Linked DNA regions of Canis lupus familiaris. The protein of the gene in region 1 interacts with the protein of each later gene in a pairwise test. Links are inferred from orthologs where the notes say so. Each region holds a gene or a part of one and is shown in the gene's direction. Other genes may lie near its edges.

The links. The genes of interacting proteins can lie anywhere in the genome.
Region 2: the proteins of CCNDBP1 (region 1) and CCDC146 interact in binary tests that used the Homo sapiens proteins (3 or more experiments, as listed by UniProt). The two-hybrid records come from large-scale screens. The link is inferred for Canis lupus familiaris from reciprocal best matches to the Homo sapiens genes CCNDBP1 and CCDC146.
Region 3: the proteins of CCNDBP1 (region 1) and THAP10 interact in binary tests that used the Homo sapiens proteins (3 or more experiments, as listed by UniProt). The two-hybrid records come from large-scale screens. The link is inferred for Canis lupus familiaris from reciprocal best matches to the Homo sapiens genes CCNDBP1 and THAP10.

The regions. Positions count from the first base shown.
Region 1 is NC_049251.1:10,349,767-10,357,785, forward strand, and holds part of CCNDBP1 (cyclin-D1-binding protein 1), read left to right. Parts: intron 1-1,252; coding exon 1,253-1,334; intron 1,335-2,088; coding exon 2,089-2,185; intron 2,186-2,361; coding exon 2,362-2,435; intron 2,436-3,010; coding exon 3,011-3,087; intron 3,088-3,384; coding exon 3,385-3,665; intron 3,666-6,314; coding exon 6,315-6,375; intron 6,376-7,599; coding exon 7,600-7,646; intron 7,647-7,903; coding exon 7,904-8,018; 3' UTR 8,019-8,019. UniProt on the Homo sapiens protein: May negatively regulate cell cycle progression. May act at least in part via inhibition of the cyclin-D1/CDK4 complex, thereby preventing phosphorylation of RB1 and blocking E2F-dependent transcription.
Region 2 is NC_049239.1:17,667,510-17,675,528, forward strand, and holds part of CCDC146 (coiled-coil domain-containing protein 146), read left to right. Parts: intron 1-119; coding exon 120-215; intron 216-938; coding exon 939-1,109; intron 1,110-1,142; exon of another isoform or gene 1,143-1,616; intron 1,617-2,688; coding exon 2,689-2,777; intron 2,778-2,874; coding exon 2,875-3,039; intron 3,040-4,438; coding exon 4,439-4,663; intron 4,664-6,431; coding exon 6,432-6,660; intron 6,661-8,019. UniProt on the Homo sapiens protein: Essential for sperm flagellum biogenesis and male fertility.
Region 3 is NC_049251.1:35,006,080-35,014,098, reverse strand, and holds the end of THAP10 (THAP domain-containing protein 10), read left to right. Parts: intron 1-4,043; coding exon 4,044-4,186; coding exon of another isoform or gene 4,187-4,192; intron 4,193-4,281; coding exon 4,282-4,498; 3' UTR 4,499-5,441; downstream 5,442-8,019.

The DNA.
Region 1 (8,019 bases):
ATGGAAAAAATATTCTTTTGCTGCACCTACAATAAGCTCTCCCTACCCCCTCCCCCCGCATAGGTCCCAGAGAACTGTGATAAGAAAATAAGAAATGAATTGTTAGAGAGCATTTTAAAAGCTTTGCTTAAGAAAGTCAATATTTATTTCAAAAGGAGTAATATTACCTTATTTTTATCTGTTGATCCTTTCTTTCAAATATACTTAGGACTTGTTGCTAAAATTCACAGCTAGTAGGACACTATGAGGAGCAGCATAGAATTATTTTTCTGTACATGCTCAGGACAGTGGGTTCACTCATAGGTGAAAAGTTTTAGTTTTATTTGAGTTATATGTATTTGAATCCCATTTGCTTTCTTAGGATCTTAGCATGTTAGTCTACTGAAAAATGGTTTGTTTTGTTTGTTTGTTTGTTTTAATGTTTTTGGATGTTGAAACAAAGTTACATTGTCATAAACAGTTTTAAGCAGTTACTCTCAATCACTGTACTTATCTTCCATCCTAGACTGGTAACTGTTCATAGACTGGCACCAATCTGTGGACCACATTTTACATAGCACTGGCTTAGAATTTAGCAGGAAAGTGAGGACAAGGAAGATAGGAGAAAGCCAGTGACTACTTGGAAGGAAAATAGCCAACATTGAGCAATATAGGTTCTATGTTAATTACCTTTAGGTATATTGTGATTCTGTTAGAGAAATCAGACACCTGGTTAATGGTCTAAGGGTTGGCAAACTCTTCTCTAAAAAGCCAAATAGTAAACATTTTAGGCTTCATGGGTGAACTAGTTAACTTTGCCCTTGTAGCGTGAACACAGTTGGAAGTAACATGTAAACAAGAGTGTGGCTGTGTGCCAGGAACACTTTATTTATAAAAACTGGCAGTGGACCTAATTTGGCCCATAGGCCACAGTTGCCATCTCCTGGTCTAAGATACAGTGAATACCTCACAGTAGATCATGAATATCTCAAGATACAGAGTATTAGCAATAAGATTTCCTCCTGTTTCTTAATGCTTTTTTTGAGTTGTCACCTCATTCTCTGATGTCCAGCTAACTACTCTTGGCTATACGGCAAGAATAGCACAAAGCCTAACTAAAAGGACTACAGAAAATGTTTGTAGATCATACTGTACAGATGTCTACTCTCTTCTACAGTAGATGGGCTGATGAATCTTTTTTTTTGGGGGGGGGGCTGATGAATCTAATCTCTTTCTTTTTTTTTTATTCTGAAATTGACCCATCACCTCATAGGAAACCCAGAGGTTCTGTGAACAAATCCATACTGCCATCAAGGAAATCATTACAGTATACTATTCACTTCCCAAGGATCAAGGTAAGCCAATGTATATACAGAAATGTTTGGTTATAGAGTATATCTTTGCTAATATGACAGCTTCTGTCCTGAAACTTTTACCTTTTCCTCAATTTGAGCATGTAATGTAACTTTCTCCCATAAAATGCACTCAAGGGTAATTCTATAACATCAGTGACATCCGTAAATAAGCCTTTATGCTAAGGTATGGATGCTGTATTACCATCTTCCCTGCTTTGCCTGACTGTAAGGCTTTTAATTCTTACTGGCTACCCCATCTCTAACTCATTCTAACGACTATGGATGCTGGATCTATAGGGGCCTCCCCAGTCTCCTCCACCCATATTACATCCCACCCTGTTTCTGAGCTCCCTTACAGGTTAAATGACCTCTGTCCCTGCCCATAAATTAATGCTTTGATTATGATTGTGCCAAAATTATAAATGAATACGTGTCTCCTGGATCTTCAGGGTTAGTCACAGATGGTTTAAACTTCAAGTGTTTCATCCACAGTTATCAAGAGACCATTAACCTTAATGAATATATACATGCTGTCATGGAAAGATTTTGTTTCAGATCTTTCTCATTCAGCACTCAGTGGGAGGAACAAGAAAATGATATGGGGAAATACATAAGACTTGAGTTTTGTGTTGGCACTGCAATTCAAGCATGTGGGTGCATGTTACCTCAAGTTCTAAAGGGCTTAAACTCTTGAGAAAGCAGATGGTGACTTCTGGAAAGAAGACCAGGCTACTTAGTCTTTGGGTTTCTTTAGGAATCACCCTGAGAAAGCTGGTACGGAATGCCACTCTGGACATCGTAGATGGAATGGCTCAACTTGTGGATGTGCTTTTCATAACTCCAGCTCAGAGGTAGTGATGCCATAGTTTGGGTTGTCAGTTAATGGGATTCCTTGCTTCAGGGAGGGGAAAAAACCTCATTTCAACAAGAGTTACTAACAGCTGTGAATGATGACTCGCAGGAAGGAGATTTTTAGGAAAGAAGAACCTTGGTTATTGATATATCCTTATTGATTTCCTTTCTCCAGCCTAGAGAACAGTGACCTTATTTCCTACAACAGTGTCTGGACTGCATGCCAGCAGGTACCTCGAATACCAAAAGGTGGGTAAGAACTGGAAACGGGCCATTGACTCTGCTGGCCAAGGCAGACAGTTCTCTCATATCTCATTTCTAGTTTTGTGACATGTAAGTATTTTACTTTATAGTTTAGTGGAATACATAGAGTTTATCACCAATATCAAAAGAGAAGTATTAATATTTTTTCTTAGTGTTTTTAGTTCTTATACTTTTTTTAGCCCTCTTTCTGTAGCCCTATATAGTTGAACAGATGTGGTTTGTTCTCCTGGTCCTGCCCCAGGAGCAGTATTATGGGACACACTGAAGCACTTAGGAGATAGTGCCAGCTAGATCAAAAACAGTGTTCGTCCAAGAAGACCACAATGAGAAACATCAAGGGACCATTTTGTTTCTTCTTGTGGTGAATGATGAAAAGCTTTTTAACTCCTATCTGAGTACCCAGAGGATGGGTGTTAGAAAACTTTTACTTTAGACCACGCTCTTGTTGACTGTCCTGGGTACTCTCCTCAAATGCGAACACTGTTGGTTGTCATTTGCAGGCTTGACAGAATTTTGAGGTTTCTTCTCTAATTCTAGTGCTTCTGATTTTTCACTCATAGATAACAAAGCTGCAGCCCTTTCAATGCTGACGAAGAATGTGGATTTTGTGAAGGATGCACATGAGGAAATGGAGCAGGTGAGGGGACAACTCCATGATAGATGAGACTATAAAGGAAGGAGATGCCCTGGGCATTGATTCAATAAATCCCATCCTCACTCCTGGATTTCAACTCCCATCTTCTAGCCCATGCCACTGTGTGTTTTAGTACCGTTCCTCTCTGTCCATTACTGGGCTAGGAGAGTAAGAACGGAGTTTAGGAAGTGATTCAAATTGGTGGCCGTTGGTAGCTGGCTTGACGTTTTTGGGATAGCTTAGATATGATGCTGTAAGTATAATAGGCTCTTTTTTTTTTTTCTTTTTGGCATGTCTTAGGCCGTAGAAGAATGTGACCCATACTGTGGCCTCTTAAATGACACTGAGGACAACTCTGACAACAATGGTGATGAAGAGAATGATGGGTTGGGGTATCCAAACAATCGGGACTTATATTGGTCAGAAGAAGATCAAGAGCTCATAATCCCGTGCCTTGCACTGGTGAGAGCATCCAAAGCCTGCCTGAAGAAAATCCGGATCTCAGTGGCAGAGAATGGTAAGAAGGATCAGGTGGCCCAGCTGGACGACATTGTGGATATTTCTGATGAGATCAGTCCTAGGTAAGCAGGATCCCCACTTGAAATGTGAGCATCAGCATATAATATCAGCTTGTGCTGTCACCCCAAGCTTTTCCCAGTTTTTTGAAAATTTTCAACCTACAGGAAAGTTGAAAAAGTATTGCAGTGAACATCCATATAGCCTTCATCTAGATTCACCTGTTGTTCACATTTTTTTTTTCCAATATTGGCTTATTTCTCTATGGATAGATGTGCTATTTTTCTCCTGAACCATTTGAGAGTAAGTTGCAGACATCAATGACATGTCACCCATATATAGTTCAGCATGTATCTCCTAAGAACATTCTTATTATTACATCCAAGAAATTTAACATTGATTACAATAATATTTATTTTTTTTTTTCTATTTTTATTATTATTATTATTTTTTAATTTATTTTTTATTGGTGTTCAATTTACTAACATACAGAATAACCCCCAGTGCCCATCACCCATTCACTCCCACCCCCCGCCCTCCTCCCCTTCCACCACCCCTAGTTCGTTTCCCAGAGTTAGCAGTCTTTACGTTCTGTCTCCCTTTCTGATATTTCCCACACATTTCTTCTCCCTTCCCTTATATTCCCTTTCACTATTATTTATATTCCCCAAATGAATGAGAACATATAATGTTTGTCCTTCTCCAACTGACTTACTTCACTCAGCATAATACCCTCCAGTTCCATCCACGTTGAAGCAAATGGTGGGTATTTGTCATTTCTAATAGCTGAGTAATATTCCATTGTATACATAAACCACATCTTCTTTATCCATTCATCTTTCGTTGGACACCGAGGCTCCTTCCACAGTTTGGCTATCGTGGCCATTGCTGCTAGAAACATCGGGGTGCAGGTGTCCCGGCGTTTCATTGCATTTGTATCTTTGGGGTAAATCCCCAACAGTGCAATTGCTGGGTCGTAGGGCAGGTCTATTTTTAACTGTTTGAGGAACCTCCACACAGTTTTCCAGAGTGGCTGCACCAGTTCACATTCCCACCAACAGTGTATGAGGGTTCCCTTTTCTCCGCATCCTCTCCAACATTTGTTGTTTCCTGCCTTGTTAATTTTCCCCATTCTCACTGGTGTGAGGTGGTATCTCATTGTGGTTTTCATTTGTATTTCCCTGATGGCAAGTGATGCAGAGCATTTTCTCATGTGCTTGTTGGCCATGTCTATGTCTTCCTCTGTGAGATTTCTCTTCATGTCTTTTGCCCATTTAATGATTGGATTGTTTGTTTCTTTGGTGTTGAGTTTGATAAGTTCTTTATAGATCTTGGAAACTAGCCCTTTATCTGATATGTCATTTGCAAATATCTTCTCCCATTCTGTAGGTTGTCTTTGAGTTTTGTTGACTGTATCCTTTGCTGTGCAAAAGCTTCTTATCTTGATGAAGTCCCAATAGTTCATTTTTGCTTTTGTTTCTTTTGCCTTCGTGGATGTATCTTGCAAGAACTTACTGTGGCCGAGTTCAAAAAGGGTGTTGCCTGTGTTGTCCTCTAGGATTTTGATGGAATCTTGTCTCACATTTAGATCTTTCATCCATTTTGAGTTTATCTTTGTGTATGGTGAAAGAGAGTGGTCTAGTTTCATTCTTCTGCATGTGGAAGTCCAATTTTCCCAGCACCATTTATTGAAGAGACTGTCTTTCTTCCAATGGATAGTCTTTCCTCCTTTATCGAATATTAGTTGACAATAATATTTAATATTCAAATTTCCTCCATTTATTTCTAAAATGTATTTCATAGCTTTTTAAAAATTTTAATCCAGGGTTCTATCATGGTGTTACATTGTATTTGATTGTCATCTCTTGCAGTTGTTTGCTTTGGTTGTCTCTTGCAACTATAACAGTCCCTGTCCTTTTTAGTATTTTTTGACATTTACTTTTTAAAGAATCTAGGTCAGTTGTTTTGTAAAATACCCCAAATTCAAGATTCATGTGATTGTCTTTGTCATGATTATAGATTATATTCAAGTTAAATATTTTTTTGGCAAGGATATCATATATTTGAGTGTTTTATGCTTCTCATTGTATCATATTGGAGAGGCATGTAGTGTTAAGTTTCTCCCATTATTGGTGGCACTAAATTTCATCACCTGGGTAAAGTAGTGCCCACCTGAGTGGCATTCCATGGATGAACTCCATTTGCATCAGTTATTAAATTGATGGTTTCAGATTTTCCCTTTTTTAAAAAAAAATAGAGCACCAAAAGCACTGAGCAGGGGAGAGGGGAGGGGCAGAAGGAGAGGGATTAGAGAAGCAGACTCTGCTGAGTACTGAGCCCAGAGAGGTGGGCCTCGATCTCCCATCTCTGGCCTGGCCTTAGAGATCATGACCTGAGCCAAAACCAAGAGTCAGATGCCTAATCCACTGAGCCACCTAGACACCTCCAGATCCTCTCATTTTTAACTGAATTAATCATGTCCTATCATATGGGCCAAGGGAGTTTTTTCCTCCCAGCTTCCTAGTGAAATGGGGTCTATACATGTTTAGTAAATATCAGTTGAATTGATTCTAGTTGCCCAATTTAAGGAATTGATAGGAATTTAAGGGACAGTTATATCCTCACTGGTCACTCCTTAATTGTGTACTGGAAATTACCCAGTTGAGCTTTGTTCCTTTTTTTTGTTAATGATTATTTTTGTTTTCTGCCCTTAGTGTGGATGATTTGGCTCTGAGCATATATCCACCTATGTGCCACTTGACTGTGCGAATCAATGTAAGTACCAACTTTGAAGAAATAGCTAGTGACTCTACTGGTAGGATTTCACTAGCCACTAGTATTTCCTTTAATCTCTAGGGAATATATTTATTTATTACACTTGGATGCGAGTACAACGATAATGTCACAGTTCTTACCTGTATTTCTGTTCGATAAATATTTATAATATTTATAGTTATAATAGCCACGAGTTCTGGTAGTACTCTCTTCTGTAACAACTTGGGTAATCACTTAGAAAAACCCAAAGACCTTAGAAAATGCTACTTTGAAAAGAAAGTCTGAATTACCACAATACTTTAGGATCCTGTTAACCTAAAGTCATTATTCTGATTTCTAGTGTGGGCAAAAATAGTGTCCAGAAACAAAATCTGTTCTAATATAAACCTATTGGATGATCTAACTAGAGGGTCAAACTCTTTGTAAAAATCTGATCTTAATCGTATTCTTTCAAGTCCTGGGTTCTGTGCTAGAGATAATTCTATTTTCTTATTTTTAGAGACTCAGATTATCTGTATAGTTATTGGAAAAAGAGGTAAAACTGCCAAATGGCTTATTATATCTTACATTCAGAATTACCAAATCTAAAAATATTTGATAAATTAGGTAGTGGAAATTAAATTCATCAAATGTATCTTTACAGTATGTAAATACTTTAAAGTAGAATAGGATCCTTTCGGGTGTTAACTTTTTTTTTCACATTCACTTTTTAGAAATTGACTTCCTAAGAAATAACATTTGGCACTATGCCTTGTCAATTACCCCAATAAAAATTTTAAAATTTAAAAATAAAATTTAAAAATTTAAAATATATTGGTGGCATACGATTCCTTCATGTTATCTTGTTATTGGTATGCTTGAAATTCTGTACATAGATTTTTTTTTTAAAGTAACAGCTGTTTGAGCTATATATTTGGAGCTATCATCAGTTGGGGTAAATTCAGGTTATATTCTGATTTTTTCTAGTTTTTTTAAATTTTAAAGTACTAAAACTTTTTTAAACTTATAAAAATATTATAGCAATAATATTAATAAGATTTTGTAAAGAGAGAAGAATCCTATAATCCTACCACTCTAATCCAATCAGAATTTTTGTTTTGGAAGTTTCCTTCAGGGTTTTTGTTTTTAATAGGTTTTTATTACTTGAGTCTTTTAATATATGTTAGCTCTCCTTCCCTTTTTATGTAGGGCTCAGGGTAAGTAACTTCTTTGTTTCTTTTCTAGTCTGCGAAACTTGTATCTGTCTTAAAGAAGGCACTTGAAATTACTAAGTGAGTACGAGGACTTCTCTCCAAATAGCTTTTTTGAGAATAAGCCCATCCAGTCATTCTCAATTCCCAAAGCCCCATTTCAAGAAGTGGAAGAAGGTGGGTGTGGTGTTTTCTTTCCACTTCAGTTGCAGAGCAGCTTAAATTCTACAAAGAAACTTGCCTTGTCTTACTAGTTTTCCTCTATGCTCCCTGGTGAGAGTAGATTTTCCCTGGACAGTATAAATTTAACCTCTCTTTTTTCCTCATTCCACTTGCAGAGTGAGTCATGTGACCCCACAGCCAGAAGATAGTTGGATCCCTTTACTCATCAATGCTGTTGACCATTGCATGAACAGAATCAAGGAACTTACTCAGAATGAACTTGAATTGTGAG
Region 2 (8,019 bases), on another chromosome or scaffold:
CTGTGAGACTGAGAATCATAATTTGTCCGCCTTTTGCAAAAGGTACATCATGGGTTTGACTACGTGACACTGAATATTTTGTTCTTGTGGAAATGCCAGTTTAAAATTTTTATTTCCAGATTGAAGCTATCCCTAAAGATGACTCTACGTTATCTGAGAGAAGGAGAGAACTCCACAAGGAAGTGGAAGTGGCTAAAAGGAATTTGGCCCAACAGGTTAATGTCAACTCTTATTTAAGCTTCTATCTGAGAATGATTAATAAAGAGTTGTGTTTGTAACTATGCTTCACAAAAGCTCATCAATACTGATCCTTCCTCATGTGGGTCTGTTTCTTCATCTCAGAGACCAAACCCCACATTGAATTTGGGAAAAAAGGATGTGTTTGAACCAGCAAAAATTAAAATAAAAGGGCTATTGAGTATATAATCAGTTTTAAAATAATATATGCTTTATTTCACCAATGTCTAATTCTAGATTTTCAAATTTTATTTATTCAAGCACTGTCAAAAACATGTTTTATGTCTCTTCTTTTTCTTTTTTAAAGATTTAATTTATTTATTCATGAGAGACAAAGAGAGAGACAGAGAGAGAGGCAGAGGGAGAAGCAGGCTCTATGCAGGGAGCCCTGACGCGGGACTCGATCCCGGGTCTCCAGGGTCACGCCCTGGGCCGAAGGCGCTAAACCTCTGGGCCACCCAAGCTGCCCTGTCTCTTCTTTTTCTTAAAGTTACTTGAAAATACAGTCTGATTAAGAAAAACTACATGTTATCATATTTGTACATTCTTTTATAAGATAAATTACTTGGAGCTAAGGCAGTCATTACTTTGTTTTACATCCTAGTAAAATAAATTCTACAAAGGAAATAAAAAAATTAAGGTACTGGCCCTAGTATGTTTCTTCAAAGAAAAAAGTTATAATATGTTGTGCTTTTCAAAAGAAAATCCTATCAGAAGCTGAGACCAAGTTAGTGGAACAACAACTTGCAGAAGAAAATAAGCTTTTAAAGGAGCAAGAAAACATGCGAGACGTTGTCTTCAACCTTGTCCGTATGACTCAAATCAAAATTGATGAGAAGGACCAAAAATCCAAGGATTTCCTGAAAGCTCAGGTAACTGCATTTTTGTAACCATCCATTACTTACCGTAAGAGTTCAGGAGATCCTCAGCTGTACACCGTGTTCGTTAGGAAGCTGTAATTGTATCCTTCAAGTTTGACTACACAGCTTCCCCAAACAAAACTCAATCATACAGTGTGAAAAAGGCTTTCAGGATTCAACTAGCGATAGTCAGCAATCTAGAGGAAAAATGAACTGGGTCAATGACAATGAGCAGAGGATTCAAGCACATGACAACTTCAGTAAGAATAAGGTAGGGACCTTCCAGGGCAGAGCGGACAGTGCACAGGTGGCGGGTCTCTGATTCCCCAGCCGCTCACAAGCCACCAGGGCTTGTCCAAGAACAAATCAAGAGCAGTGGCCTTCGCCTGCTGTCCCTCCCAAGGCCATCAGGCCAGCATTGTTTAGCCCGATGCTAGGATGCCCTTAGTTACTGCTCCAAATCCCTGACTTTACTGGGCTCCCAACAAAGTACCGGAGTTGACCCAGGGCAACATCCCAAACCAAAAGAACAATGAAACCAATGGCAAAAAAAATGACTGTGCTGTCATGCCAGCTAAAATCATTTATTCCACGAAAGGATTATGTTCAGAGGTTTCCTGTTGAAAATGAATGTAATGTATTACTAAAAGAGAATTCCTGAATTTAGCATGGGACCCAGATGTTGGCTGTTTCCGAGGGCAAACTTTGTTTTTTTTTTTTTTTTTTTTAAGATTTTATTTATTTATTCATGAGAGACACAGAGAGGGAGAGAGAGAGAGAGAGGCAGAGACACAGGCAGAGGGAGAAGCAGGCTCCATGCAGGAAGCCTGATGCGGGATTCGATTCTGGGACTCCAGGATCAGGCCCTGGGCTGAAGGCAGGTGCTAAACCACTGAGCCACCCAGGGATCCCGCAAACTTTGTTCTGAGCCAAGCATTTACACAGGGTAGCATTTCTTCTTGGAAAAGCACCTTAAAATCATGGCCTTGGGGGTGCTGGGTGGCTCAGTGGTTGATCACCTGCCTTTGTCTCAGGTCGTGATCCCAGGGTCCTGGGATCAAGTCCCACATCGGGCTTCCTGCAGGGAGCCTATTTCTCCCCCTGTCTGTGTCTCTGCCTCTCTCTCTCTGTGTCTCATGAATAAATAAATAAATAAATTCTTTTTTTTTTTTTAATCACGGCTTCGGCCTCTCACAAAATATGACAATAGCATCTGTCAAAACTAACTACAAATCCCCTCTCCTCAGCTATCCTCCACAGACTCCTCACTTACCCAGCCCGTCTGTGCCATCCACACTCATTCCTAGGCTCTCTCAAAAGTTCCCCAAACTTTTCCTCAAAGCCAACCTGTAGAGGCTCTTTTCTTTCCCTTTTTCTTGTTCTTTCTTGTCCTTAATTCAGTTCAGCTGGGCAGACAGCTTCCAGATCTCTCCCTTACAGTTTCCCCTCAACTGTACAACTCAGCTGGCTAAGACCGACTTCTCCTCCTTACTGGACAGGAATGAGCTAGGGTGAAGCTGGAGTGTCCATATGTTGATGGTGGTGGGCTTTTCTTTCTTTTTTAATTTCACACTTAATTTTCATATTTCAGCAAAGATATACCAACATTGTTAAGGAGATCAAAACAAAGGATCTTGAAATCAGGATACACAAGAAGAAAAAACGTGAAATTCATCGCAGGTAAAAGAATTACATGATGATCTATCTTGTTAGGTGGGGAAAAAATGGATTTTATTTCACAAGTTTCAAAAAAAAAAAAACCCTCATGTTTCCACAGACTCAAAGAGTTTGCTAAATTGTATGACACTATTCGAAATGAAAGAAACAAATTTGTTAACTTACTTCACAAAGCTCACCAGAAAGTAAATGAGATAAAAGAAAGGCATAAAATGTTGTTAAACGAACTGGAAATTTTAAGAAATAGTGCAGTTACTCAAGAAAGGTAAGTGTAATAATAACTATTGTCTTTTCAAAAGTTTCTCTTCTGATTCATTGAACTCTAAAATACCTGGGAATAGTAAAGTAGAAGATATTCATATAACAAAGCTGGAAGAGCCCTTGCTCAAAGATGCTTTACAAATGACACTCTAAGCATCTGAATGCGATTCTGTATGCTTCCACGTTGGATAGCCATATTTTTAAGTGAATAAAAAACCATGTTTGTATACTGTTTTAATTTACTGAATTAGAAAGAAAAGCACAAATCTGATCACTTTGCATTTAAAGTTGGAAGACAATCAAATATTTATTAACCAGCACCCCCTGGATATAGATTTGAAGCATCTACTGTGCTTGTAGGAGGCCGTACAGCAGAGTGGTTAAGAGAGGTAGCTTTCTAGACTCAAATCCCAGCCCCGCAGCTGACTGGCTGCATGCCCTTGGGCAAGCTAACTTACCTCTCTGGGCTCGCTTTTCTTATCAATAAACATAGTCCTTATTTGGGGCATCTGGGTGGCTCAGTCCGTTAAAAGTCTAACTTTGGCTCAGGGCGTGACCTCAGGATTCTGAGCCCTGCATGGTACTCCAAGCTCTGCACTCGGCAGGGAGTCTGCTTGACCCTCTCCCTCTCCCCTTGCTCGTGCTCTCTCTCTCAAATAAATTACTGCAGTAGCCCCTCTTATCTACGAGGGATACATTCAAGACCCCCAGTGGCTGCCTGAAGCCACAGATACTACTGAACCCTAAATATTCTATGGGGTTTCCCCCCTACACATACATACCTATGATAAAATTTAACCTATAACTCAGGCATAGTAAGAGGTTAATAATAACTACTAATAAAGTAGAACTATTATAGCAATATACAGTTAACTCTTGAACAACACACGGGTCACAGGGGGCCAATCCCTGTAGAGCACTTAACTACTAATAACCTCCTGCTGACCAGGCACCAGTTGATTAGCAAATATTTGGTGTGTTATATGTATTATATGCTGTATTCTTACAATAAAGTAGGCTAGAGAAGAGAAAATGTTAAGATGATCATAAAAAAAGAGAAATACGTTTACAGCACTGTGCCGTATTTGTCCCAAAAAATCACATTATAGGTGGACCCACGCAGTTCAAACCTGCGTCGCTCAAGGGTCAGCCGTACTGGAATTCGTTATGTCAATGTGGTCTCTCTTCCTGTCCCTCAAAGTATCTTCACGTACTGTACTCACCCTTCTTGGGGTGCTGGGAGGTGACAAACGCCCAGGTCCCCGCGTGGACTACGTACTACTCCTGTCGTTCTGAGGGACAGACTACAGCCCCAGAGACTTTGATACTTTCTGAAGTCTTCATTATTTTTAAAGTAATCAAAGGAAACGATCATCTTCCCCGTTTTCCCATTATTTTTAAAGGAAGCTCCAAAATTCCATGCTGAAACATGCCAACAATGTTACCATCCGTGAAAGCATGCAAAATGATGTGCACAAAATTGTAGCAAAACTCCAGGAAATGAAAGAGAAGAAGGAAGCCCAGCTGAATAACATCGACAGGCTGGCCAGTATGATCACCACCGTCGAAGAGGAGATGGTGCAGCTGCGCAAGAAGTATGAAAAAGCTGTTCAGCGTCGAAATGAAAGGTAAAAAGCCAGGAATCTGGGGGATCCCTGGGTGGCTCAGCGGTTTAGCGCCTGCCTTTGGCCCAGGGCATCATCCTGGAGTCCTGGGATCGAGTCCCACGTCGGGCTCCCGGTAGGAAGCCTGCTACTCCCTCCTCCTGTATCTCTGCCTCTCTGCCTCTCTCTCTATCATGAATAAATAAATCTTAAAAACAAAAAAAAAAAAAAAAAAAAAACAGGAACATCATGTGAGCAATGAAACCCAGAGATCCCATTTAGGCAGGTTGCCTGCCCCTTTTCCTCTCTAGACTTGATGGTGGGTAGTGGGGGGCATTTGACGTTTTGGGTTCACTCGCCTCTTGTGGGGGTGCAGGGGGGGGTGAGCTGCGTGTGTGGCCTGAAAATAAGAAGTTGTTCTTTTAAGAGAGAGACAGGCAAGAGTAGGCTTTAGGTGGGTGTAGGTGGCTCACTCAAAGATCAGGGGTCTTCCCCAAGCTACCCTTCAGGCTGCCCCTGATACCAGCAAGTTATTTCAGTATAATCGACATAAATAAGTCTTCGGATCTTGTAACCACCTTTGTGACAGGTTTGGTCCTAGTATGATATTTGTCAAGTAATTCTCCCAACTCGCTTTCTCAGCAGGTAAGACTCTTCGAAGAGCATTATTTTTTGCAGGCTACGGTTATGTTACTCACAGTGACTGCTGTAGCGGGGTTCCCAAGCTGCCTGAGCTATGGGGAGCTCTAAGTGAGATTGTAGGGATTGCTTCTGGCCTCATCGTGGCTTGACTGTGGGCTGCTCCACGTGAAGCCACATTCTAAGCATTGGACCCTACAAGCACAGAAAGGTGGTAAATCATTGCTGCTGGCTTCTGTTGTCAGGAGAAATGAGAGGATCCCCAGAAGAGCCACTAAAATGGCAGATGAAATATAATAATCTTAACATTAAGATTAAGCAAATCCAATTATGTGTCCACACACTATAAGGGAAGAGAGAGAGAAAGAGATAAAAGCAACTAAAGATGAACTCTGGGATAATGGCTATGCAGAGTGTGGGAAGAGCTTCAGGGTGCGAAGGACACTACTTTTTCAAACTACTGGCAGGTGTTTTCTCTGAGAGAGAGGGGAAAAAAGTGCTCTTATTTGGCTCTCGGCACAAAACAAATTATTTAGGCAGTATGTTTCCCAGGCCCTGGTCAGACCTGTAGGGCTGGAATTGGAAAATTCTTACTTTGTTTCTTTCCCACATTCTCCTCACATGGAGGGGTCTTTCCCCTGGCGTGATTACAAAGGACAGAGCTTTGCCTGTTTAGGGGGAAATCTGCATCAAAAATATTCAACTTAAAAAAAAAAAAAAAAAAAAACCCTAATAGGCCTGGCAAGTTCCATAGAATCACTGCAGAAACACATTCCCTGGCCCCCTGCCTGGGTACTTCTGGCCAGACCTCGGTTGGCAAGCCGGGCCCAAGAAACGGGTCTGCAGAAAATCAGATTATGGGGTCACTTCATTCATGCATGGGGAATGACATTTTTTTCCCACCCTCAGAAAGCCTTTGGGACTTGCAGAGATACTGTGACCAGCCAACTGCATGATCAGCTCAGAGCAGAGACACTAAACAACCCTCCCTCTCATATCCCCAGGAATACTTAAAGTGTTTAACTAGAGAGCAGACAGTAAATATCTATTGTCTTCTGGAATTCCGTAATGTTGATGTTTTGTGCCCAAATCCAGAGGGAATTACCATAAGTCTCAACTTCCTCTTAGCCTCTGCCTCTCCTTTTGGCCATAGTGGTGTTCAGCTGATACAGCGAGAAGAGGAGGTGTGCATCTTTTATGAAAAAATAAATATCCAAGAGAAGATGAAACTAAATGGAGAAATTGAAATACATGTCCTGGAAGAAAAGATCCGATTCCTGAAACTGAAGATTGCTGAGAAACAAAGACAAATTCACGTGACCCAGAAATTATTGCCAACCAAGAGGGCCCTGGATGCTGACTTAGCAGTGCTGCAAATTCAGGTGGGGGAAACATTCATCAGACGCTTCCTGGGGCCATTTGCCTCCCCTCACTTTATTGGTTTGAAGATCATATCAAGTTCTTACATGTAAACTGAGCCAGGCCCTTCCTGGTACCTGTACAAACCCATGAGTTACGTGTCTTCTTTAAAACTGCCTCTGCTCCAGGGCACCTGGGTGACTCAGTCGGTTGAGCGTCATACTCTTGATTTGGGCTCAAGTTATGATTTCAAGGTCATGAGGTCAAGCCCCACTAGGGCTCTGTGCTCAGTGGGGAGTCTACCTGAGATTCTTTCTCTCCCTCTGCCCCTCCCCCCCAGCTTGCTCTCTCTAAAATAGATAAATTAAAAAAAAAATTCTGCTGCTCCAGGTGGAATTTATGTTTCAGGAATGCAGGCTACAGATGGTTCCCCATGAAGCATTTTCTGCCTTCCTTGGAATTTAAGCCCTCCCGAATCTCAGCACTAGCTTCCTTATACCTCAAAACTTAATGAGTCCAGGCCTTCACTGCCACCAGCATAACTATGTTTTTCATGCTTGCTAGAAAGATCTTGGAGACCATCTCATTCTCTCATTTTTAGAACTCCTAACCTTAGAAGCCGAGATTGCTATTTGTTAATTAGCAATCACATATAATTACACTCCTTATTAATCCCTGTAGTTTCCCTGCCATTGAATAGCCTGGTCTCTGACACAGTCTTTTTAAATGTAGAATAAAGCCAAACAATTTAAACATGAAATAATAATATATAATAATATACATACACATATACATAAAAAATTATGAACATAAAACTACTTTCTTCACATGTAATTGTTTTTTTCTTAATGAAAATAGAAGAAAAAAATTAAATAAAGATTTGTGTCTTACACTTTTTTCCATTGACTCAACGTAGCAGGAACAAATTTTAACCTATAGTGTGTTTTCTAAAATGTCAGATTTGTTTTCAGTTTTTTTTCCTGATGATAAAATTAAAACATGTTCAGTTAATGAAGTTTTGAAAAAATACAAGCATTTAAAAAAATAAAATTCTATTCCTGTGATACAATCACTATTAAAATTATCAAAAATCTGGCAGAGAGCCTTCTGGTCTTTTTCAAGATATATAAGTAAACGGTTTTCATTAGCTCATGTGTAGACAGTTTTGAGTCCTGGTTTTGTTTTTTGGGGTTTTTTTTTTTTTCCATTTAATCTGTCATGGGATTTACATGACTATGGAACCAGATAACGGGTCTACTTTCATATTTTTATGCCATTTGAGTGTGTAAATGCTTTATCAGTGATGGGATCTTTCATTGTGCATAAATGTACCAAGGTTCTAATTCCAGTGTGTGTTTGTTTTTTAAGATTTTATTTACCTA
Region 3 (8,019 bases), about 25 Mb from region 1:
TATAAGTAATGCTGCTATGAGCATTTTTGAACATGTGCACTTTTTTTTATATGTGCACACATTTCTGATGTATATACTTAGAATTGCTGGGACATAGTATTTTGTTGAACTTCAATAAATTACTCCCAAGTATTTTTTTAAAATAGTGGTACCAATCCACACTTTATCAGCAGCATATGAGAGTTTACATTTTTCCTCATTCTTGCCTTCACTTGGTTTTTCAGACTTTCACATTCGAGTCCTTCTGCAAGGTGTACTGGTGGTTTACTTTGCATTTCCCATTTTGTAAATGAAATTAGTAAGGGAACACTTTTTCAAATGTTAATTGAACATGTGGATAGCCTCTTTGGTGATATGCCCTTTCTTATAGTAGATTACCTTACTCTTGTCGATTTGGGGCTCTTAATAAATTGGTCAGTTAAATATGTTTCAAATCTCTTCTCCCAGTGTGGCTTGCCTCTTCACTCTTAATAGTGTCTTTTGATGTACTGAAATTCTTAATTTTAATGTAGACCAACTTAGCGCAGCCCCGGTGGCGCAGCGGTTTAGTGCCACCTGCAGCCCGGGGAGTGATCCTGGAGGCCTGGGATCAAGTCCCACATCGGGCTCCCTGCATAGAGCCTGCTTCTCCCTCTGCCTGTGTCTCTGCCTCTCTCTCACTCTCTCTGAATGAATAAATAAATCTTAAAAAAGCCCATCCCTGTTTAAAAAAAAAAAAATGTAGACCAACTTACCAGTATCTTTCTGTTTAATGTTTAAAACATTCTATTATGTTTTGGATCTGCTTCACTAGGTGTTTATCGATTTTTATTAGTCTTTTCAAAGAATAAACTGCCATGTTGTCTTCTCTCTGGTATTTTTTTTCCATTATTTTCTATCATTCATCCTTCTCTGTACTTATTTCTTCAACTTTGATTTTTTAGTTGATAGGTTAGATTTATATATTACTGAGGTAAGTGATTAATAGAGATCTTTTCATATCTGTTTTTCCATTAAACTTGTTAAAAAGTAAAAACTTCACTCAAAGATATCTGTACATATTCATGCAAAAAAATCTTAAAAATAACCTACTTATGTGAAGACAAAACATTAAATTACCAAATACTTCCATTTTTGCCCAGCTGCTTAAATTTTTTTTTACTTTTCCAGTATTTTCAAATTATTTTTGTAAGACTTCATTTTGTTTAGTTTTAGGTTCACAGCAAAATTGAGGTGACTATAGAGAAATTTCCCATATTCCTACTGCCCCCACACATACATAGGTACCTCCAATATCATGATCCCCACCAGAGTGGTACATTTGTTAGAACTGACGGAAAAAAAAAAAAAAAAAAAAAAAGGAACTGACGAACCTACACTGACATATCACTATCATCCAAAGTCCATAGTTTACATTACAATTCACTCTTGGATCCTCTATTTTTAAAATTTTTATTTACTGTTCTCTTTTAACTTCTTAACAAGTTAGATTGGATCATGGGGCTCATAATTTTCATATAAATGGTCAAAGGGGCATCTGAGTTTCACATGCTTATTTCCTAATTGTAGAATTCCCTAGAGTGGTATTAATAGAGTAAAAATTGACTCCTGAAATGAGAATATATTAGAAATATTTTGTGGAATAGTTTTTTATGTGATGTTAATAATCTCAATCTAAATTAAGCCTTATTTTTTATACTCTTCTATGTATATAAGACTATAAATTCCCTTGTAAGCATGGCATCAACTGTTGCACAAGTTTTTGATACAGAATATTATTATTTAGCTTAAAATACCTTTTTATTTTCACTGTAAATTTCTTTTATCTTGGGTTATTTAGAAGTAGATTTTTAAATTACCAAACCTACAGGCATTTTGTAGTTCTATTTTTGTTGTAGATTTCTAGGTCATTTACACTTTAGCCAGAGAATATACAGCATATGAATTTAATCCTTTGAAATGTATTGAAATTTGTATTAGGCAAAACATAGGTCAGTTTTTGTAAATATTCCATATGCACTTGAGGTGAATGTTCTGCAGTTGAGTACAGTGATCCATATGTGTCTATTAATCATGTTTAAAAAAAAAATCATGTTTAGATGTTCTATCCTTATGGAATTTTGTCTACTTAACTGTATTAAGTAATACTGGGAGAGGCATGTTAAAAATCTACCACTCTGATTTTGAGTTTACATATTTGATCTTCTAACAATTTTTGTATTATGTAGTGCTAACATAGCAACATCAGCTTTCTTTAGGTTAGTGTTGGCATAGTACATCTTTTTATATCCTTTTATTTTCAGTCTTTCTGTATCCTTAGAGTTTTGGCATTATCCTCCTATGGTTGCCCCTTTGAAGAAAATGTTACCTTTTTCCTGCCACTGCTTCTAATTTTTTCTCTGTCTTACTGTAAAGTGCATAGGTATGGCTTCCTTTGTTTTTACTTTGATAAATACAAATAGTGCTTTTGTGAAACCATATCTTAATGTCTTCTATCCATTTTGGTGAGTTTTCAGATATTATTCAGATAGTGCTTCTATCTCATTTTCTCTCTTTTCTTCTGGTACTACAATTAATATCATATATAATACTTTTTCATCTTCCCTACTTTGTCTTGTCACCTTTTCTATATTTTCCAAACTTTTGTCTCTCTCTGCCTCATTTCAAATATTTTATTTTGGCTTATGTTCCAGTTGATAAATACATTTTGGAAATTCTGTTAATGTGACAAAGTAATAATTGAGGTACCCAGGTAGCTCAGTTGGGTAAGTGTCTGCTTTTGGCTCAGGTCATGACCCCCAGGGTCCTAGGATCAAGCCCCACATCAGGCTCCCTGCTCAGTGGAGAGTCTGCTTATCCCTTTCCCTCTGTTGCTCCCCTCACTCAGTGCTCACTTGCATGCTTGCTGTATCTAGCTCTCTCAAATAAATCTTTAAAAAAAAAAAAAAAGAAGTAATAATCAGATATGTGCACAAAAGATTTATGTCTAAAGATTTCCAATATAGATTGTTTTAATCAGTTACAGTATATCTGTACAAAAGATTGTAAGCAGCGATAAAAATTATGTAGAATATTGAATAGCATAGAAACATATATTTTTAAGATTTTATTTATTTATTTGATGGAGAGAAAGAGAGCACAAGCAGGGGGATCTGGAGGAGAGGGAGAAGTAGGCTGAGCAGAAAGCCAGGTCATGACCTGAGCTGAAGGCAGGTGACTAACCAACTGAGCCACCCAGGTGCCCCAAAACATGATATATTAGAGAAAAAACAAAACTATACAACAGATGATCCCAATAAAAAAACAAAACACATAGAAAAGACCAAAAAAGTTCCAAAATACAAGGTTATTAGCTATGAATAAAGAGATTATGGGTAAATTTTAGTTTATTTTTGCTTCTCTGTATGATGCAAATTTTTCTTAGTGATAAAAGGTATCTTTGTTCTAATGGAAACAAGTTATTTTTTAAAGCCTGATTCAATTTCTAAAATGCCATTTGTTTTTTCAGGAATAAATTGTTTTGTAAAGAAATATGTCCTTATTCTAGACTTTCATAATGCTTGGCTTAGAAGTAGTTACAGCCAGTGGAAATAGGTCATAATTTTATAAACACGAATCCTCAGTAGGATTAGGTATAATTATTCCTGTTACAAAGGGACTCTTCACAAAAGTTTTTCACAAAGTTTCTTTAAGCTGGGTCTTAGTAGCCTATATTAGGTTTTCTAGAATAATGCTACTGCTATGATATCCAATAACTTAATGCTAATAGTATTGATTTAGGGGAAAATAATGAGTTGTAAGCAAATAATAACAGATTTCCTTTTAACCAGAATGCTTAGCAATTTGTGATTTGCATATAGTAAAAAAAAAAAAAAAAACAGCATGGCAGTGTTCTTAAGAACTTGGACTTTGGAGCCAGCTTGCCTGGGTCCAAACTCCAGTCTTCCTAATATGTGACCTTGAAAACTATTGTTTATACTCTTTTACAACTCACTTTTGAAAGATAAAACCGCACTAGTCAGGACTTGCCTTTAATATAGTTCTCCTCTGGTTTATATTTTTAGATTACATGTGAAAATGAAGTTAAACAAACACAAGTCCCTGCTAATAATCTATCTTATAGTGTCACTTCAGTACCTACTCACTGTGAAGAAGGCCCAGTGCATAAAAGTACACAGTTGTCTCTGAAAAGGCCCCCTCACCGGAAGTGTTGGTATGTTTTGACTCTTCAACTGATTGATAATTGAATTTGTCTTTTGTACATGAAAGATAAATGACAAGCAAAATGTAATTCACAGGCAGTTGTGTTTTTTCTCTTTCAGGTATTCAGGCCAAAGTGAAAGTGTTTGGAACACAACTGTGTAATGCCACTACTCAGACTGACGGATTGCAGCCTAGGAGGAGCTCTCTCTTTGACATCTACTCCAGTGACTCAGACCCAGATGCAGATTGGGATGTCAAGAGTGAGCAGAGTGATTTGTCCTACATAGCAGTGCAAGTGAAAGAAGAGTCTTGCTAAAAATGCAACATCAAATGACTTGATGTGCTATAGATTTTCAAATCTTCGCTCACATAATTATTTCTTTGCCCTTGTAAATCTTTCACTTTGGGATACTTGAATATCAGCAAAATGTGTTTAGCTCTAAGGCAAAAATATGCCCACCTGCCAAGATCATGAAGATTATCCTGCCCACAAACCTCCCCACCTCCCACTTTCACCTCGTTTCTTTTTTCTTTTTATCCGTTTGGTGGATATCGAGTTATAAAACAAAACCACGGTAGCAGCATTTCCAGATCAAGATTAAGCACTGAATATTTAAGCTTAATGCAGAAGCAGCATTCATATGGGACTTATTTGACATTCACAAGTTAGAATGTCACTATCCTAAATAATTTGAAGATAATAGTAATCACAGCCAAGTCTGATACTATTAAATGATTTGGGAGCCAGGAGACTCATCCTTGATTATTACTTTTTTATGTTGTATATTTATTAGTTTGTCCATTTGTAATACTGTTGGATCTGTGAATCGGTCCTTGTGAGCATTTCTGGTGAAGTTATGGCTCTTACAGAAAATTTTCAAAGGGAATTAATTTAAATAGAGATAGAGTTTCATATACTTGGATTGCATTATTAATGAAATCTATTTGCATTGGTTCCTATTACAACAAACCAATTAGCTTGATTAATTTAGATTGAAATTCTTGACATGGAAAAAGAAAGTATTATATTTCTAACATATTCCTTTTCAAGAATTAAGTTTTCCTCTATTAATACCTTTCTGTTGAATTCTACATTTGGGAAATAAGCATGTGAAACAGCTGTCCCACCTGCCATTCACCAGGAAAATTTCTATGGCAACTCTGTACCATGAAGTAATTTGTTACAATGGTTTCTGAGAAACTTATTATAACTCTGATCTTCTATTGAGAATAAAAATAAATGTCCATTTTGTACCTCATCTTGTTAGTTGTGCATGATTGGAAGAACTTGCATGCATTTTATTCTAGAAGGTTTAAATAATATACCAAAGTGATTTTCTTCCTAATTTCATGTGTGACTTAATTTGAACAGTGTAATTTTAATAAAAAGAATAATAAAATAAAATATTAATAAAAGTGTGAGCCTGAACAATGATTATGTTCACATAACACATAACACATAACAGTATTTTTAAGTATATAAATCTTCTGAAGCTAAATACTATCAGTAAGTACCTATTGTCTCTTGAGTTCTTAAACAGCCTATTGCCTTAACTCAAGTTATAATGAATGTTATATGCCCTTTATCTCCAAATTTCACTGCCATAAGTTTACTTCATTTCTATATGTTAAACAACTTTGACAGCCATAACTTCTCTTCCTTCCCTTCTTCCCTTCCTTTCCTTCCTTACTTTTTTCTCTCTGTTTCTTTCTATTCAGTTAGGGTTTTTTTCCTCTTACCGATTGAGAATTTGTTTGGTTTGTTGACTCACATAATTTTATAATGTACAATGTTTCACTGTCCTAAAGTAAAATGAAATACTGGTTTTTAAAAAATTAAATATGAGGGGGCAGCCCGGCTGGCTCAGTGGTTTAGCGCCGCCTTCAGCCCAGGGCGTGATCCTGGAGTCCTGGGATCGAGTCCCACATCAGGCTTCCTGGATGGAGCCTGCTTTTCCCTCTACCTGTGTCTCTGCCTCTCTCTCTCTCTCTGTGTGTCTCTCATGAATAAATAAATCTTTTTTAAAAAGTTAAATATGAGGGACTTATAGTTTATATGATACTGATTACTTTTTACATATTTTCAGTTATCTTCATTTCTTTTGTTGCCACATGAGTTTAATGGGAAAAAAATGTGATATACCTCAACACCTACCATATTATTTTTCATTTGTTCATTTAATAAGTGTTTATTAAACCTACTCTGTGCCAGATAACTATTCTAGACACCAAGGATACATTGGTGAGCAAGACAAAGCTCCTGCCCTCTTGGTGGTTACCTTTGGAGGGGAGCCAGACAATATACAAGGAAATGAGTGAATAATTTTAGACAGTGATTAGTGCTATGAAGAAAACAAGGCAGAGTAAGATGTTAGGACATAATTGGGATTGGGAAGAGGGTTGGCTCTTCTTGGTAGGATAATCAGGAAAACCCTCTCTGAAGATACAATAATTGACCAGAGACCTAGATGATCAGAAAGAGCAGCATTCCACGTAATAGAAATAGCAGGCGCTCTGGTATTTGAGGAACAACGAGGCTCAGGTGGCTGGAGATAATGAACTAGGTGAGATTGGAGTGGTATACAGGACCAGACCATGTAAGGCATTTGCTGTCACTATCAAGAATTTTTATCTTGTTCTAGGCTTAAATTCTATTTTAAATGTGTTTTATGGCTGGCTTACCTGCCAGTATTTATGTCTTATACTGAAAAAACATAATGGGATTCACACATAAAATCACTGGACTTGAGGCAAGAGAAGAGAACTATGTCAAGTGTATGTGAATATAAAGCTTGTTTGGTCAAAAATATTCCTCTGGGAATTCTGGAGAAATTATGGTAGTGATGATGTCATTTTCTTTTAAATCTCCCCAAATTTCCCCATGGAAACAAATAGAGCATTTATTATTCTGTTAGTGGCAAGGAAGCTTGTATCAGATTAGCCTTCCTGCATAACATTTATAGAAAACCAATAACTGACAGACCAGGAGAGCATCAAAAGCAAATAGAAGGGATCCCTGGGTGGCGCAGCGTTTTGGCGCCTGCCTTTGGCCCAGGGTGCGATCCTGGAGACCCGGGATCGAATCCCACGTCGGGCTCCCGATTCATGGAGCCTGCTTCTCCCTCTGCCTGTGTCTCTGCCTCTCTGTGTGTGTGACTATCATAAATAAATAAAAATTTTAAAAAAAAGCAAATAGAAGTAGCAAGTCAGCCTTAAAAGAAGTGAGCTACGGTGGGCGAGATGTCTTTTGTGTGCCTTCTCACCTGAATGCACTCACTCCAGCAGAAAGGTGCCATCCTGCTCACCTGAGGAATCAAGAGTTGAAAATTAAGGGCTACTGGAGTGGGGCAAGTCATGGAAAAGTAGAAGCCACAGGGGAGAAGGACCCAAATCTGCTTCTAAACCACCCAAATCTTATAGTGATCACTGAAGTACACGTGTTGTTGCCTTGAGAGACCTCAGGGGTCCCAGCAGAAAGCAACAGTTGGAAACCTCTGCTTAGCTGCTTATCGTCCTAGAGGAAGCAGAGTTTGGAGTTTGAGTCCTACCCAGTTAACTGGCAGTCAGAACAAAATCCGTCATGCTTGAGAATAAGATGACAGAATTTATCATCTAAAATGCCCAGTACGATATTAAGAATTACTAGTCATGTGGAGAAATTGGAAAGTGTGATCAATAATCAAGACAAAAAGGAAGCAACACCCAGATGACCAGAACTTGTAATTAGCAAAGAAAAGCTTTTATTTTTAAAAAATATTTATGTACTTAAGAGAGAGCCCAGAGAGAGTGGGAGACGCAGACCCCCACTGAGCAAGGAGCCCAACGTGGGGCTTGATC